Linked DNA regions of Saccharomyces cerevisiae S288C. Changing the gene in region 1 together with any one later gene gives a genetic interaction. Each region holds a gene or a part of one and is shown on either strand. Other genes may lie near its edges. The genes, in order: DAD1, STU1, DUO1 and TAP42.

Evidence for each region.
Region 2: mutations in DAD1 (region 1) and STU1 together harm fitness more than expected from each alone (negative genetic interaction), as found in Saccharomyces cerevisiae (3 studies listed by BioGRID, with this or other methods).
Region 3: mutations in DAD1 (region 1) and DUO1 are lethal when combined (synthetic lethality), as found in Saccharomyces cerevisiae (3 studies listed by BioGRID, with this or other methods).
Region 4: mutations in DAD1 (region 1) and TAP42 together harm fitness more than expected from each alone (negative genetic interaction), as found in Saccharomyces cerevisiae (2 studies listed by BioGRID).

The regions. Positions count from the first base shown.
Region 1 is NC_001136.10:477,603-480,626, forward strand, and holds DAD1 (Dad1p), read right to left. Parts: upstream 1,157-3,024; coding exon 872-1,156; downstream 1-871. Other genes in the region: HED1 (Hed1p), read left to right, coding at 195-683; inositol polyphosphate kinase KCS1, read right to left, coding at 1,513-3,024. UniProt on the Saccharomyces cerevisiae protein: Component of the DASH complex that connects microtubules with kinetochores and couples microtubule depolymerisation to chromosome movement; it is involved in retrieving kinetochores to the spindle poles before their re-orientation on the spindle in early mitosis and allows microtubule depolymerization to pull chromosomes apart and resist detachment during anaphase.
Region 2 is NC_001134.8:152,960-160,215, forward strand, and holds STU1 (Stu1p), read right to left. Parts: upstream 5,431-7,256; coding exon 889-5,430; downstream 1-888. Other genes in the region: DNA-directed DNA polymerase alpha subunit POL12, read right to left, coding at 1-651; RIB1 (GTP cyclohydrolase II), read right to left, coding at 5,697-6,734; HEK2 (Hek2p), read left to right, coding at 7,225-7,256.
Region 3 is NC_001139.9:388,325-391,931, reverse strand, and holds DUO1 (Duo1p), read left to right. Parts: upstream 1-2,220; coding exon 2,221-2,964; downstream 2,965-3,607. Other genes in the region: YBP2 (Ybp2p), read right to left, coding at 1-1,867; PYC1 (pyruvate carboxylase 1), read right to left, coding at 3,200-3,607. UniProt on the Saccharomyces cerevisiae protein: Component of the DASH complex that connects microtubules with kinetochores and couples microtubule depolymerisation to chromosome movement; it is involved in retrieving kinetochores to the spindle poles before their re-orientation on the spindle in early mitosis and allows microtubule depolymerization to pull chromosomes apart and resist detachment during anaphase.
Region 4 is NC_001145.3:325,442-329,388, reverse strand, and holds TAP42 (Tap42p), read right to left. Parts: upstream 1,908-3,947; coding exon 807-1,907; downstream 1-806. Other genes in the region: FAR8 (Far8p), read left to right, coding at 1-729; YMR027W (putative methyltransferase), read right to left, coding at 2,100-3,512. UniProt on the Saccharomyces cerevisiae protein: Involved in negative regulation of the TOR signaling pathway in response to type of available nitrogen source. Inhibitor of PP2A phosphatase SIT4, which results in inhibition of nuclear export of MSN2, due to lack of dephosphorylation by SIT4.

The DNA.
Region 1 (3,024 bases):
TGCGTCGCTAACATGTACAATATTTTAATGTATACTCTCGCATATTTATATTTTCGTTTTTCACGGCTTTAATTAGCGTACGTGGTTTCTGATTTTTGCTTGAGTAATGCACTATTTATTAAGATAGCCGCCCAGGTTAAATTCTTGAATTACAACTACATGTCAGAGACGAACGAAAGAGAGAAATCAAGACGATGCAACAAAGATCAAATAGGAGAAGCTGCTCCTATATACCACTCGGGGTACATAATAATGCCGAAAAGAGCTTGTGCACCGAAGTTGCTCCAGCAAGAAAGAACAAAAGGTCTATTACGACTTCTCCCATAGTCAACATCAACGTTGTAGAAAGAAGACTGTTTAATTTGGAATTGGAAAAACAACAACTTCGTGCCAAAAATCTGTCTGAGAACACAGGTGGCGGAAGCCCCAATGGGGGTGCTTATCTGGACGCCAAAAAAGGAGTAAGAGAACAAGATCAATACCAAGGAGGTCCCTCGAAAGAGCTTGACAGGCTACAACCACCACCTTCAATGAAGAAAAGCCCTCCAAGGAAGAAGAAGAGCCTAAAGGACTTGATATATGAAACGAACAAGACATTCTATCAGGTGGATTCTAACAAGGTTAAATATAAGGTAGGTCTATCCAAGAAACAGCTATTACCATCCAAAACGGTAGACAACTAAGTTCAAAGAGGAGAACGTTTGAAAAAGAGTTCGGTGGCCCTCCACTTTTTTCAACGTGCAAAAGTTGTCCACAACTTACTTATCATTAGGCTAAAATTACAATTTATATCTTACGTATCCTTTATCTAATTTGCGACTGTAAACATAAATTTAGGATAATATTAGGAGAGACAGAGGGAACCGCAACTTTACTTCGTTTTCGATTGAGATAAAGTAGGTTGCTCGTCGATGGGCGCTTCGTCTGATAAACTTTCCAACCCATCATAAAGTGTTTTCCACAAATCAGAAACTGACTGGAATTCTCTTCCCACAGCTATCGAGCTCTCCAATGATATATTGAGACCATTCAGACCATTCAAGATTGAATTCATAGTCTCATTGATCTCCTGCAATACTATATTCCTCTGCTCGATGAAGTATTTGTCAGTGGTTGATATCAACTTTTCTTCATCATTGGATGTACTAGCCATCATATGTACATATATCCTCACACGTCCGAGCTCTTCATCAGTCCTATTCCTACGCTAATTACTACCTCCTCTTGTTAAAGGTGACTGTTTATTCCCTTTGTTATTTTCGCGGCCTTGACTTTTACCCGGAGGTGGCCCTTTCCGCTCAATGGTTCTAGTGATCGCCTATAACCGTGTAGTCATATTCATACACGTACAAATTCGTTTGTCTTTTCATATATATAGTTATATATGCTATGCTCGTTTGTGTATTTATTGGATTATGCAATCAAAATAATGATAGTTACGAATAGATAAATGCATTTACGGACTGAAATAAGCGCAGCTAAAAGAATATTCATTAGTTCTATCCTTTCTTTTCAATCACTAACTTGAGCATCGTCATTGTATCTTGGTTCAGCGTCGAAAATAAGCTCGTATTTTCTCCATTTTTGTCTTAGTTTACTATTTGGATCATTATACATTTCTTCGTCTTCTTTGTCAAATTCATCTAACCAATCCCACTTACTGTTGAAGTTGATTTTCGAACCGGTGGCGGAGGTGAAACTATTCGAATCTGCTTCTTCGCTAATCATATCATTCATCTCTACTTCATCGAAAATTAACGGCATATCAGAAGTCAGATAATTCCAGATTAATAACAGATAAAACCTCAAGCTCTTCACACCTCGTAAGAACCCTTTATCTTCTATATTTGGCGATTTTGGGGGTATACGAAATTTATCCATACATTCCATTGCATCTTCTTTAGTAACACAACGTGCAAAATCGATCAAGTTGACTTTAACATTAGCAGCTTTTTTCCTTTTAGAATTTGATTTATTAGCATCTCCATCGTACATTAGTAATAAAGACGCGCCATATAGCCTGTAACCTTTCAAATTAAAAATTTCAGAATACAAAGTATCTAGTTGCTTGATCAACCTTGGAATTTGCCTGATTAAACTTTCAATGGTCTTACCATCATACAAAAAACGTGCAAGTACCCTAGCAAATTGCCAACCAACCTTAACCCTTCTACCAAAGTATTTATCTCTTGTGATATAATAATCTTTGTTCCAAACCTTTAATCCGCAGATTCTAACGCCTAAACGCCTAGAAGTGGTCTTTAAACACTTTGCACGCTGTGACAGTTGCTTGGCTCTTTTGGCGTCTACGCCATATTGTCTTGTCCCCATCTTTAGATCCAGTGCACAAGGCTTGTTCATGTTTCTTGTCAAATCTTCCAATAAGATAAATTTTGAAACAATGGTGTGGGACGTCTCCTCAAACGTAATTGATTCAATATCATGATGACTATAGTCATTTGAAACATTATACGCCAATGACTTTATAATCATGTTTTTACCAGAGTCAAGATGGCAGCCGTGGTTATCCATATTTATAGTTTCGTTTCCCGTATCTTCATCCATATCAAAAACACCATCTTGTGCGTTGCTGATATAATTCGGGGAGGTGGCAAATTCGCCATCATCTCTAGAATTGGTTGCAGTGAGAATGGGTGATAAAGAGTTGCAGAAAGAGTTTTTATGTTTTATTTGTTCGTTTTTGTGGAATTGCTTCAAATCCATTACTGAATGCGAGCCATCTAAAGCATTAGATATTTTTTCATGAAGCGATTTTTTCAAGAAAGGATCCTGCAAATTCGGATTGACTTTCGAGTCATCCATCTGTAAACTCGCTTGTGACGATGAATCACCAAGAGTCTTCATAGACGTATTCGATGCATCATGGGACGAGGCTCTTGATTTTTGTGTTAAAAAAGATGGACTGGAACCCAAACGCGCATTATGGTTTCCCATTGTAGTCGTATTAGAGTTTCTTTTCCTTCTAAAACATTTCGGTGCAAATACTTCCCTTATGACTAGGTT
Region 2 (7,256 bases), on another chromosome or scaffold:
ACCAGATGATATTTCAATATTTTCAGGGTTCAAAGAATCCAAAATTTCACCAGCAGGAACATTTTGCCTCGATGTGGTAGGAGTGTTTGTTGTTGGAGTTTGGAATGTCGACGAGCCGGGAGTCTTGGCATCCGAGCTTTTAGCGTGGGACAATGGAGCACTGTCACCCACAGCATCTTCTGCCATGCCTGGAGTAAACTCCAATTTTAAAGAACTATTTCCTTTTTCATTTGTTTCTGCCTCAGAGCCTACATTATATGTTTGCTTGGAATCACTGAGTGAAAAGGGACCATGTAACTTTCTTTTTTTTAAAGTCGGAGTCTTTGGAATACTAAGGCCAAACAAGGGACTTGAATTCAAACTTTTTTTAATCACTGGTTTTTTTGTGGATGTGTTTACCTTAGAGGACGATGAAATTTGGTTAGCACGCTTTTCCATTTGTAATTGTAAAAATTGTTTAAACTCATCTATGTTCTTGGAAGTCAGATCTGTGTGAGTTTGACGCCTTTGATTGGAGAACTGCTCCCATTTAATGTATAGATCCTCGACGGACAATGCATGCAGTTTAGTTAAATTCTCTAATGCAGTGATGATTTCCGGCTTGTCTGCATCAGGCCCAAAATGAGTGATGACATCGATAGATCCGCTCATTTTTTTTTTTTTCAGTCACTTGCTCCTGCCTAAATTTACCTTCAAGCTTTGTTGAACCAATTGACAATCAATTATCTTGATATTTTTATATGCAAATATATTATGTATATGAAACAAAATGTTATATGTGTCTACAAAGAGCTCATATTATTACAGTTTTAGAAAAGAGAAAGAACTAAGAAACTCTGGTGAGACGCGTCACGGTAAAAAAAAATTACGCGTCTACCACGCTATTCTCTATTCGTTTGAGGCGATGAACATGATCATTTTAAAGACATTCTTAGGCAAACAATCGAATAATCGTTCGGTTTCTTGCTCAGTATAATCTGGAGTAGTTTGGAGGACTCTCAAACAACGAGCTAATACCACGGCACTGGTGAAGTTCCACGAAGTATTATCAGTCCCCATAATGAAATAGCTCATTGTTTGGATAATCTCTGATATATTAGATTTCTTGAATTGTTGGCAAATGGTAGGAGATTGCAGCATCTTCCATAAGGTCTCAATTAAAAATGTTTCTTTCACACCAGCGGTGTCAGGCTGAATTTCAGTAACCAACATGCTTAGAATTCTTGTTGCCGAATGTTTTTTGAAAAAGTGCGATAACATTAGACTGTCCCTGAACTCTTGCGCTAATTTATAGATTTCGTTTCCATAATCAGAAAATTTATTAAGCATTAAAAGGATCTGTTCCCATACTTCTTCGAAACACATTCTCACCGAAACGCCATCATCGTCGGCATTCTCGCTTAGTGTATTTAGAAACTTTTTCCAAACCAAAAGACAATGAACGAGAATTATGGACTTACTGGATATTTTTGATGGAATTGAAGGCGTGTCATCAGTAGATTTCAAAAGCATAATAGCAACATCCAGTAGTTCATCAAAACCATTTTCATTCGTCAACCAATCGGTCATTTTTTGATTTTGAAAACAAGTAATCAAGGGTTCGATCAGGTAATTTATATGTTTCATAGTGAACGATCCACTTTTTATCCTGTTTATTGCCTTTGACATGTGATTGAAATAGACATCAAAATCCATCAAAGTGTTGCCATTAGAATCAACCATTAAAAGATGACTAATTTCATATACAGTCAAGGAATCCCTTGGGAAATTATCCATGATAAGCAAATGCATCTTCTCTGATTTTTTGTTATTAACTAGTTTCATCTTTTTGGAGTTTATGTCTTGTTCAGTTAGTGCTACGTCTCTTTCTCTCTTTACTGTGATCCTTTGCTTTTGACCCATATTCTCGTCCCCGTTTATTTTGATTGGTGACATTGTTTCCAAATCAGGCTTTTCATTCTCATTCCCATTTCCAATAAGTTTTTCTGGCTCATTTATTATCTTTGGAGGATCTGTACTGAATTTTACTGTTGGTTCATTATCGTCCTTCAATTTCCTTTCGGTATTTTCACCACTGTTTTGAAAAATTTCACTTAAATTCAAATCAGATTTTTGAGAATTTTCCATATCTATATCATCTTCCTCCTTTGCTGGGTTTGGCTGGTCCAGTTGATAAACACTTACTATTTTCGTCATTTCTGAAAGCTTTTTATCTTTGTCATTATCATCATGAATAACTACGCTGTCTGTGCTTGATGTTCTTTTTCCAACGTTATTCTTCAACTCTAGTGTTTTATCAGTTTCCAAGTTTTTGAAGGGATTAATCATTGTCATTTCCATGCATTTCTTAACATCATTTTCGTCTACAGCATCGTCGGATTCCTCATCCCCTTCAGATTTTTTATTGTCGATGGGAGTGAAGCTTACAGAACTTTCTCTAGAAATGATGTCTTCTACCTTAAAGTTGGCATCCTTCTTTTCAAGTTCATGACAGATTTTCATCTTGGTAGATACAATGTCAAAATCAGCTAGCAATTTATTAAAACGATTATTATCGAATTTATAAATTTCAAAAATTAGATTGAAATAACATGTGTAGTCAAACTCTTTACCGTAGATTTGAAAGAGTATCATTGATATTTTAGGCATGAGATCGTTCGTTCCTGACCTCAGAGTGTTATCATGTTTTATGTTCAAGTTACGGAAAATCTCTAAAAGTAACTTGAAATTATAATTGAAAAAAGTGGTTTTGTATTTCATATAGTATAGTTTGAAATCATTCGGACAATTATTGGCATTCAAGAAATTGAATAAATCCGCGATAGTTATAATCAAGTTAGTAAGCTCGTAGGGCTTTTCAGGATTCATTCTATTCTTTAAGATTTCCGCGTAATCAAAACTATTAATAGAATATAGCTCAATGAGGTAATTTAAGGGAACTCCATTTGTAAACTTCTCTATACTCAAAAATGGCTTGAAATCATTTGGTGACTTTATCATAATTTGGCGTAGCTTTTTCATAATCATGGGAAATTCAAATTTTGGGGCTGATGATGACTGTTGCGATGTCAACAGTAACTCCTTTTGTAAATACTGTAAAGCATCTTTGATCTGAGCTGGAAACGAAGCATCATTGAATTTTTTGTAAAGGGTTTCATATTCACCAAGTTTATTACTGCCTTTTAATGAGATTGGAGAAGATGACATCGAAACATCATTTTTATCCATATATTTCTTTATCAACGGGTTAGAGTAACTATTTGATAACTCATCAGTCAAGTCGATTTGGTTTGACGGAAAGTCATCAAAATTTGTGTAATTTTCAGATACTTTTGTGGCGGCAGTAGAAGAAGGAGGGGCACTAACTTTTCTTTTAGTAACATTATTATTATCTTTGGTGTTGCTGTTTGAAACAGAGTTCATACTGTCATGATGCCTTGCCCTTTTTTCATTTTCTTTACTTGAATATTCACTAGTAGACCTTAAGTTTGTTTTCAGCTTATTTGATAGTTTACTGGCTATGACACTTCCACCAGCTGTGACTGCAGGAGCGTTGAGTAGGGAGGTGGAGGAAGATTGAGTCGGTTGGGCATAACTTGGATAGTTCCTTTTCTGCTCCAGTAAACTGGTTTTTCTTGAAGAATTATTCGAAGAGTGAGAGTACAATCGAGACGTTGCAGAGGAGGCGGAGGCAGTAGAGGACACCCTGGAAACTTGATAGTTTATATTCAAATGAGCAGGGATTGCCAATTCTGTTGCTTTTTTCAACTGTGGAGAAAAGGAAGAACTCAATAATCTTTTGGCATTTGTAGGATAACATTTGTAGAAATACCAAAAAGTTAACCTCATTGCCTCTCTAACGGTTGTCTGTGAATCTGAAATGCCCTTTTTTAGCCATTCTTCGATGTATATGATGTTATTCTCCAACTTTGAGGTTGGCGAAGTTGTATTTGAATTGTTGAGCGAAAGATTGGAGTCGTTGAACTTAATCAGGAAGCTACGCAGCAGTATTGCAGAGCAAAATCTCGGTGTTACGGTTTTCTCATTTATTAATAAAAAAGATAATTGGAATAGTTTATTATGGAAATGATTTATATCAATGATCAAAGTAATTAAACAATGAAATGCAGTTTGTGAAGAGATTTTCTTGGTAGATGATAACAAGTTCTTGAAAATGACAAATATTTGGTCCAATATTGATAGGGGCAACTGATCGTTTAGGATATGGATTAGCCTCTTGAGGAAAAGTAATGCAGTTAATGATAACGTTGTCCTCAACGACGAGGTAGCTCTTGAAATCAACTCAATCAACTGCACCTCCTTTATTACAGTGACAAATTCCTCTGGATTATCTTTGGGAATGTTGCCGGATATAATGTTGTCTAATTCAATTATATTTGATTGCCTTAGCTTCCAATTTTGTTCTGTTTCCTTTACACTTTGGAACGGTGCCAACAAATTCTCCAAGTCTTGTTGTAATTGGTTCAAAGACTCATAGTTTTTTTTCATCGCTGGGTCTTTACTGCTCAAGTTGTTTGATAACTGCGGCAATTTCGCTTCGGCTAATAGTAATTGAAACTCGTACTCTTCGTCAAACAAGGTCGATTTATCTTCTTGTGAACCATGCTGGTCCTGTGACTTTGCTAAACTTATGAATTTTTGCTTGAATTTCTCAACTTCTAAATCGTTAATAAATCCATCTATCAGATCCTGTGAATTTTCGTCATCCATTTTCAAATACTTGTACATTATATCGAAAATAAGCTCTATTATTACATTATTGTTATCATCGTTTGCGTGTTCATTTAGGTTGTTATTTAAAAGGTTGGTGAAAGACAGCATGAAAAACCTCAGTAGTTGCAAATGATTTGAATTATTTTTCTCGTTGATCTGGATCAACTCATCGATGGTCAATAATGTAGATTTTATCCTATTCAGGTAATCTCCGTTTTGGTTTTCACTTGGTCTTCGCAAGAAATTTGCTAGAATAGCTTGGATCTTCGATGGATTAACCAAATAAATGGCTTCAATGGCTTTAATGGAAGCCAGCCAAAATTTCTTCTCATTAGGCAACTCGAAAATTAAGTGGTTTAGTAATTGCTCAACTAGAGTGTCATTGAATTGTACTGGAGACTGCATGGCCACACGTTTGATAAGGTAACAAAGCGAGGAATGTGATAGGAAGATTAACCGCGGGTACGAACGGTAAGCGTAATGGCCGGAGATGAACAGTAACGCAGCGAAATAAGCTTGGATCGACGATTCGTTAACTAGTTCCTTTTTTACATGTCCTTTGAACCGTGTAAGCAGTGCCATTTTTTCCTCGATGGGTACAGACTCGTCCTTGAATACGGTATACAAAGGGAAGGAATCGTCTGGATGTGTATTAGTGTTGCTGTTATTATTGGTCTCATTGTTGAAGGACGACATTATTTCTGAAGAATACAAGGTCTCTCCAAAAACCCTAATAATTACCGCTAAATATGCCTGTCAATCGGATGAAGGGAAGTTTCAACCTCAAATGTAAATAAATAGATGTTTAGCGTTTTAGAATAAATAAGTAAATAATTTGATTTTCTATAAAGATGTTAATGCGCCAATACGCGCCGACGGGGTAACGCATTAAAATAACATGGTATTTTCGTTTCATTACAAAAAAAGCACTATATGTACTAATAATTATGCTACACTTGTGTTTATATTGCCAGCGTCGATGTTGATGACAACGCAGAGTTCATACGGTTTTGGTTTTGGGCTTCACTTGTCTCAGTAGGTTGAGGGTTTGTATGAAGTTTCAGAGGCTCCGTTAGTAAATGACCCATTCTTTCTATCTTGGTCCTGAGATAACCTTCTATCTCCTTGGAGTCTATGCCTTCACTGGAGTTTGTCCAGTGTATGGGTACCATAGGCACTCGTTCAACGCACTTAAGGTAAGGCGCATGATCTACCTGTTTTATCTTTTCCGGGTTATTTGTCAGCAGCCTGACATTACCGATGCCAAGATCCAGCAAAATAGCCTTACCCAGCGAGAAGTCCCTAGCATCCACGGGATGTTTCAGCATTAAGTTGGCCTGCACTGTGTCAGCACCTAAGTCTTGCAGGTTGTAGGCCTTGAGTTTCTCACCTAACCCGATGCCACGACCCTCTTGTCTTAGATACACGATAACACCATGGCCGTTTCCACCTTTGATGTTGCTTGTGGGTTCGTGGTCGCAAGCGATAAGCCTACCGGCCCTATCGAATTGTTCACCACAATCACAACGGGCGCTCCATGCGTTTTCACCGGTGTAACATTCAGAATGGATCCGTACCAGCGTGTCGTTATGGGCGTCCCATGTAGTGGCTTTGGAAGCTAATAACTCACCTGTACTATCATCAAACTCCAGAGCTAATCCGAGTCTATCGTCTTCGTCTGCCACAGTTCTGCCGGGATACAGTTTGCCAATATAAGCGCCCCTGATCATTCTATCTTGTTGCGTCTCGCACTGTCTTCTACGGAATAGCGAGCGCGACCGTATGTCTTCACCAAACACAATGGCTAGATGTTCCTTGTTGTCCCTGTTGTTACTGTAAAGATGTAAAAAGATATCCGGACCCTGTGTGGTTGGGATACGAGCTCTTGCGACACATTGTACTAGAGGCAAGCCGCCATCGCCGTTCCTGCCATCACCCGTACCACTAACCTCGTATTTGCTGCTATCCTGTTTACTGTTGTCGTAGTTATCTATGGTCATCCTGTAGGTTTGTTGTAGTTTTATGTACGCCACTTTTTGTAATGACTCAATTATTGTCCACGCCAGCACAGCAACTTCTTTATATATACTATAGCGGCGCTGGCGCTCACCCCACAAGAGCGTCCGACTAATTTCTGACAAATCGTAAAAAGAAAAAGAAAAACTCAAAGGAAAAAGAAAAAGTCTCACCCTACACAACTTGTTTTCAAAAACGGTATAGACCCTACTATTTCTGTTTTAGCCCTATGCTAAGTCTAGACATTACCCTATCCCTTTTAACGAAAGCCCTTTTGTTTTTTTTCTGTGTGTCCGGCCGCTCAGCCAAACAACAAACAAGACTATAATCTGGAGCATAAGTACCCGAGCATATATAACTACTTGGCATACGAAGTAAAAGCATATTGCTCCCCACTCCTATCGCGCGTCCCCTGTACAACAAAGCATCAACTTATCGGGTAACTTAGAGACAGCATTAGTATATATACCAGCCATGTCACAGTTCTTCGAAGCTGCTACTCCCGT
Region 3 (3,607 bases), on another chromosome or scaffold:
TGAATGCTAATTCAGGCTCACCTTCTCCTTGAAATGATTCGGAGATTTCTTTATTGATGAGTGTTAACAGACCCAAATCCCATTTGTTCCTTAAACTAACAAAAAATTTCATATATGTTAGTACCAAGAGTAAATCACCTTGCGTTCTTTTCTTTTGCTTGGCGGCAGAAAAACATATTAAAGCAATGCTATGAATGGAAGCCATGCGATCTTCATTAATAGTGATGTAAGGTCTTGGAGGTAGAGTTGGCATTATCGGTACACTATTAGCGGTATTCCCAGGATTCTGTTGTTCGATTAAACCGACAGTTTCGTCACGATTAGCAGCCTCAGGAGATCTAATCATCATATCTCTTAGAATGTCAAGAACAGCAATCTTTGCAGTTATATATGGACAATGTAGTAGAGTTTCAAAGATGAACGTAAAAGATGTGCTTTCGGGCATGAGATAGAGTAACCTCCTCAGAAGAGTAATTTCGGTCAACTTAGTGTCGTTATTAGATTCATTGCAAGTTTTCATCAGTAACATCTGCAAAAAGGCCGTGGTAATGTGCCCTGGAAGTTCTTGTAAGGCACACTTTATTTTCTCTGTGGAAGTCTCGGTTGTGGATACCCATAGCCAGTAGCGTACTGAACTTTCCAAAAACTTATTTTCGTATATTTCTGAAAATAAAGAAGCTGTCGTACACCGTAGATAGAGGTAAATTGCGCTTTGGATATCAATTTGCGGCAATAAGTGAGTACCATTTTTAGAATAATGTATTGCAGATAGAATCACAACTCCATATTGGTCCAGCTCTAAGTTCTTTTCGTCAGCTAGTTTCTTGATTTGATATGCGTAAGATACCTCATATACTAGTTGGTTAATTTCTTCTTTGAATTCGGGCGTGGAAGCGGCCGGGTTCATGAGAAGAGAGTTATAGATGCTTCTTGATTCTACCAGGCACTTTTCTAAAAGTTCTTTCATGTGGACATCCAATGATGTGACATACTCGTAGTATTGGTGGCATATCTGTAAAACTGAAGCATCGATTTCATTTTCATCTGTTTTTTTATGCATCAATGTTTTGAAATATATCTTGTCAATATTACCTGGATGATTTTTTAGGCAGTTGCTAATCACGAATACGCTCAGATTAGCCAGTAGTTTTTTCTGTAAGGCAGATTCATCATCATGAATTTTTTCAAGATCGTTTGTACTAATACCATCGGTCAGACTAGCAGATGGTTGAGCTGGAGAGTAATTAGTACAAAAATTGTACACTATGCGCAAAATAAAGTGTGGATCATCCATAGCCTGAACGTTGGTTGTTACATACTTAATAATTGCAGAAGTTACCATGGCTAGAAATTTAGATGGATATAAAGTGTCCACACGTTTCAACAATAAACTCATAAATTCAAAGAGAACGTAAATTTTCAAATTTGGAATGAATTCTACTGTATTTTTGGCCATATAGTGCCCAATCTCCGGAGTGATAACTGACAGCTCATCAGTAATGTTTGACGCATCATTTCTATTGGAGTCATTTAAATCTTCATTCTCTTCATCGGAGTCGCCAGTTTCAGTTAAGACTATATGGAGTGTTGACACCAATTCGCAAGCGGTCAACAAGCATTCTTTCGGATTTCCATTGATGGCTAGCTCATTGAAGCATTCCATCACACTAGAAACAAGGGGACTAAAAACTAGATGTATATTGACATTGATGTTTTTGCGTGAGAAAAACTGCAATAAACCCTTTGGCAGATCCCAGCCAATTTCCTTTAAGGTAACTGGATTATCCTTAAGTATTTTCAATAGGGCATCCAAATAACGTTCCTTTTCTTTTATAGACTTTCCAGAGTTCACCTGCTCGTTGTACATATCAATGATTGTTACAAGTGAGACAAAATCATCCTTCTCCTCTTGGAAAGCCCTGACAAGGCTTTTACAAATTGTTTCAATTGACTCACCCATACTTTCTGAGCCCTTCCTCTTGACGGTGAGTTCTTTTAGCCTTTTAGACCCAGGATAATATGTATTTTCCTTTATTCTTAGATGAGAGGTTTTTGGACCTCAGCGCAAGTTAGTTTCACAGCGAAACGAAGGAAAAAAGAATAATAATTACAAACAAACGCCAAAATCAAACGCGATAAAGAAAGATAGGCTAAGTAATCTGGACTGGTGACTCAAGTATTACTAAAGAAGATAATTTGAAACTTGAACAAGTCTTCAATATGAGTGAGCAAAGCCAATTAGATGATTCGACTATAGACAAACTGATTCCACAGATTTTCAATGAGATGAGATCTAACCTCAATAACACGACCAATAAATTTCCAAAAAGCACAGGAGGTGGAGCAAGCGATAATATTTCGGCTAACAGCAATTCTATAAGATCGTTTAATTCAATCACAACGCAATCCTTACTCAAAGAATCAGAATCGTTAGATAAAATAACAGCAATGATAAAAAATGTTACGGCCGCATTAAAAAATAACTTGCCAGTATACGTTAATCAAGTACATGAGGTATGTAAATCTACGAATTCCATTTTAGATTCATGGATCAACATTCATTCTCAAGCTGGTTATATTCATAAATTGATGAGCGATCAAACCTATTTAAAGCTAATTAATGATAGACTGCACAATGAAAATGTAAACACAAATGATGAAGATGGGAGTACTTTACACAACGTGATAGCGTTGAAAAAGAAGGAGATCTTGGATTTGAGACAAAAATTAGAAAATAGGAAGGGTGAAAAGGATGCTGCACCAGCAAAGCCACCAAATCAAGGCTTAAATCCAAGGTACGGTGTGCAATCTGGTAGAAGGCCCGTTCCTTCGGCAGGAATTTCAAATAACGGAAGAGTAAGAAAGACCCATGTTCCTGCCTCGAAAAGACCTAGTGGTATACCAAGAGTAACTAACAGGTGGACTAAGCCCACTGCTAGCAGCTCAAGGAAGATGTTTCGCTAAAAGATGCTTTCGGGAATGTATCTAGGATTTATTGTATATGGAATTTAAATCGAAATAGTAGATAAATTAATGATGAAAAAAGGACACGTTAATTGGATGCGTTAAATTATTATTTTTTTTTTTATTTAACTTTTGTTCCTAATTATGTATTAGTATTTACTGGTCGTCAAAAAATAGGAAAGGTAAATAAATAAGATTCGGGTATATTATACATTATAAATGAGAACTAACCGGTTCATGCCTTAGTTTCAACAGGAACTTGGTCTTCTAATAGAACTAATAAATCAGAAGAGTCCACATTTTCACCATCAGAGACAAACACTTCTTTAACTTGTCCATCGGATGGAGAAGATATAATCATTTCCATTTTCATGGCGCTTAATACGGCTACAGGTTGGCCCTTCTTTATTAGTGATCCTTTATGAACTTTAACTTCAACAATGACACCTGCCATTGGTGCACCAATGTGTAATGGATCATGCATGTCTGCTTTGGATTTAGTAACAGTTTCCACTTTTTGTGATCTGTCAGCAACACGAATTTTTCTCATTTCACCATTCAAATCAAAGTAAACTTCTCTTTCACCGGTCTTTTTGTTCAAATCACCCACAGCCTGTAGCTTGATAATTAGCGTTTTACCTTG
Region 4 (3,947 bases), on another chromosome or scaffold:
TCAGAACAGCCGTTTTCGTCTAGTGATATCATTAATATAGACTTCAAAAATAAATGGTTGTTGATAGCTAGTAAGAATAAATCTCAAATTAGAATCTGGGAATTGGACAATATAGAGGCTCCTGAGGATGTCCCAATTAACATAAAAGAAACATATGAAATAACACATGATAATGATGACGATGATAGTAATGATTCCACAAACATTCTGGATTGTATATTGGGTATAACAGAAAAATCCTTAATATTACTGTCTTCAAATCCATACCAGCTTACCATATATGATTTCGAGGGTAAGCTTCTACAAAAAATTGATTTGAAGATTGATACAATATTATCGGGTAAGCCAGAAGAAGAAGGTTACCATTTATTTTTGGATAGAAAAACTTCTAAGCTACTGATTCAGCTAAGCAATGAGAGATTATTGGTTTATTCTTTTGATAAGAAAAAAGTTGTACTGAAGGAACAATTGACTCCATCGTCAACACTACCAATACAACTCGATTTGAACGACAGCATAATCACCGTATCATATAGTAATGGAGACTTTGAGTTTAGGAATTTAGAAAACCTAAAACCATCCATCGACGAATTTGTCGTAGCAGACATCAACTTCTCGGAAAGAAAAGAGCCTGTGGTATTTTCTTCAAATCTGATTGTAGATTCTACGCCGGTGTTAATCACCGTGAATAAAAATAACGAAGTCCTTTTGCACAAGATTAAAATATAACTGATGTAGGCAGAAAAAAAAATAATATATGAATCTGTCTAATAGATACTTATGTGTACGTATATAGGTATTTTTTTCTATCCTCTATTCATGGTATTTCCGCTTCCCTTAGCATGACTTTCCTTGAACTCGTCCCACTCACGAGCTTTATAGGTTTCTCTATCTTGCCAGTCCATGTTTTCTTCATCTGGTGCTTGCTCTGGTTCTTCGCCACCTTGAAGAACGCGACCTTCTTCAAACTCTTTATCTAAAAATTCCTCCACCGACATTGTTGGTCCATATTGACCATATCCTCGCACTTTTTGTTGCAGTTGTTGCCTTTTGTCGACAAGCGTGAAGTTCCTCAAGACTTGACCTTTTTTGTCTATCAATGGCTTATTTATATTCTCTAATTTATCGGTAAAACCAGTGGAATCATCATCATTCGATTCTTTTCGTATCTGAGTACCTGATGATTTGACTTCATGTACGGAATTTTTGAGGAAATTAGAGAGCATTTCACATTCAAATAAATTCTGTTCAATGTTGTTAATCGTATCAAGACTAAAGTGATGTAACCTCATCAAATATAGTTCTCTTAGTAATTCATCATGGTCGTGGTCCTCGTCGTTGTTTTTTAATTCCAACTCCAAGCAGTGCAGTTTTGTGCTAATTTCTTTATTGCGCTGGAATAGCTCAATCTTTTCTTTTCTCTTCAACTGTGCTCCAGATAAATCTTTGTTATTTTTTGGTTGCGCGTACAATTCGCTAAGCTGAGGGTTATAACGATCCTTGAAGTTACCTAGTTTTTCACCAACCAAAGGATCTAGAAGCTTATAATCCTGCAATAGTGTCAGGAAATTAATGAAAGATTCAACGCTTTTTTTCAGGTAAATCAATTTCATAGACTGCCTTTGAGCAACATCCGAATCATTCGACTGTCGTCTTGATATCAATAATCCTAAATAGTAATCAACTGCTAGAAATTTGATGGAAGCAGTAGACACATCATCAATGGTCTCATTAGTACTGAACAATGCCAACCTGTCAAAAATTGCTGTTTTTAAGTTTAATAATTTCTTGATCGTGGAAAGTAATAATCCCTGGTACTCTGGTGAATCTTGCCTCAAAGATGTGTGTTCCAATTTTGTTGAGTATAAGCTAATAATATCGTTGAATTGTTCTGTTACTGACGCCATGTTTATGATCTCTCCTCGTTATTACTTTCTTCCTCTTCTTTCGCCATTGATTGTAATTTGTCCTTAGGAGCTTTCTTTTTTTTATCAGAAGTACATAAAATAAAAGGCACGTACTAAAAATCTATGTGCTTTTTTGGAACATTTCATAGGGAAAGTCATAAAGTAAAGTTATATAGAGAACTTATCATATTCTTATTTATGTATACCAGAGCAGAAACAAATGACTGCCCATTTACCGCTACAACACCACCAAGAACCACGGCCAGGATTTTCCTTTTCCCATTCTTGACTTAATTTCGCGTCTAGACCTTCAGGTAAAGCAACTTGTACATCGGCTTTACAGGTTCTCAAGCTCAATGATGTAATACCATTCGTAGCAAGAGGTCCGATAGCCGTTTCCCATTTAGTGGTGCGGGGCCATTTTCTGTCGCCAGTTAATTTTCTATAGTTTAGATCACCCTTAAAAATAACCAAATTGGATTTTTGCAAATCTTTGTGCAAAATGGATCCATGGTATTTGGTTTCGTTTGCGTCCAAATTCCAATAATCTAATTCCGTGGTCCAGAAAGAATCTTCGCGGAATTCTATCTTACCGCTAGAGACGAACTTTTCCATTTCACCAGCAAATAAATCAAGAGCTCTGGATTCCTTTGTCGAGGGTTCACCACTTGGGAAGAACTCACGATCTCTCAGGTCATGAACTAATATATCAAAATCTTTTAACATAACATCGCTAACCATGTATGGAATGTCTTTAGCGTGGAAAATACATTTGGTAGCCAAACCACTTTGTAACAGAAAAGCTGCCAACATCAAGTCAGCATACAATTCAAAGCCAGAATTGTCTAATACAAAATCAACACGAATTTCTCTGCTATTGGCATCGGCCCTGGCTTTGGTTAATACCTCCCATGCTTTCTCCGTGTCATTAACAACAATCTTGGACTCGGATGCAGCTCTTGCTTTCGCCCCTTGGATTGATTTAATGTCTTCTAACGTAGCGTTGGTCAATAAAGATAAATCAGTGGCATTGCCCCACAAAGAAATCTCAATAAACTCTTTAAAAAGAACTTTCAATATATCGTCAATCTCATTTCCTGGATTTTGCTTCATTTCTCTCAGCTGTGGTAACAGATTTTCATACCTTAACGCCAATTCCACGACACCATAAAACGAGGACTCAAAAGTTGACTGTTTAAGTCTGTTGAATATGTCAAATTTAGCCCATTCGCATTGGCGTTGGAAAAGAACATTTACTCTTCTATACAAGTAAACCTCCGAGAACAGCCACTCTACAGCCCCCCAATTGACTTCAGGGTGTTTCTTTAGATATTCATTGAACGAAAGCGGGACGTTGGCAATTTTGATCTCTTCTTCAGTAAAGGGTCTCAAAGGTACACGATCAATTATCTCCTGACGGAATTCCTTGAGCTCCTTTTTGATAACTTCACCTTGTTCGAACTTAGTGCCGTTACTCTTCTCCGTTTCTTGATGCTTACTTAAATCGTCTATAGCATTCTGAATGATAATGGGCCAACGGGTGCTAGCAGTGTATTCACCAAAAGTGCCCTTATCAATTGTCATAAATCTTCCAGGGATAGTCATCTCTTGTTATGTACTACCCACTACCGTAATATCCTTTTTTTCCGTTTACACAAGGACCACAATGAACCACTAAATTTTAAAGAGTTCAAATGAAGTTTTATTCTTTTAATATGAAGGGAATAGTTGTATTTCTACTTCCGGGCAGTTATACTATCACGTTGCACCTGGGGCCTCTATGTCTGAGAGGTGTGTGGGTTATACTAAGAAATCATCGATGTGGACGATTACCGTCACTGGCAATGGTAACCTCCAATTCAGTCACTGGAGAAGAGAGGTACAATTTAGTGTGGAGTCATCCTTTCGTCTCATTCAGATGCTTAAGAGCAATGCTTACCGCAGAATCACATTAGGTAGAGAAACGGTTTTGCATGAAGGCTCCAGAAGAAGCAAGGGAATAAGCAGGGAAAATAAAGCAAAGGAAAGGAAGGTAGTCGT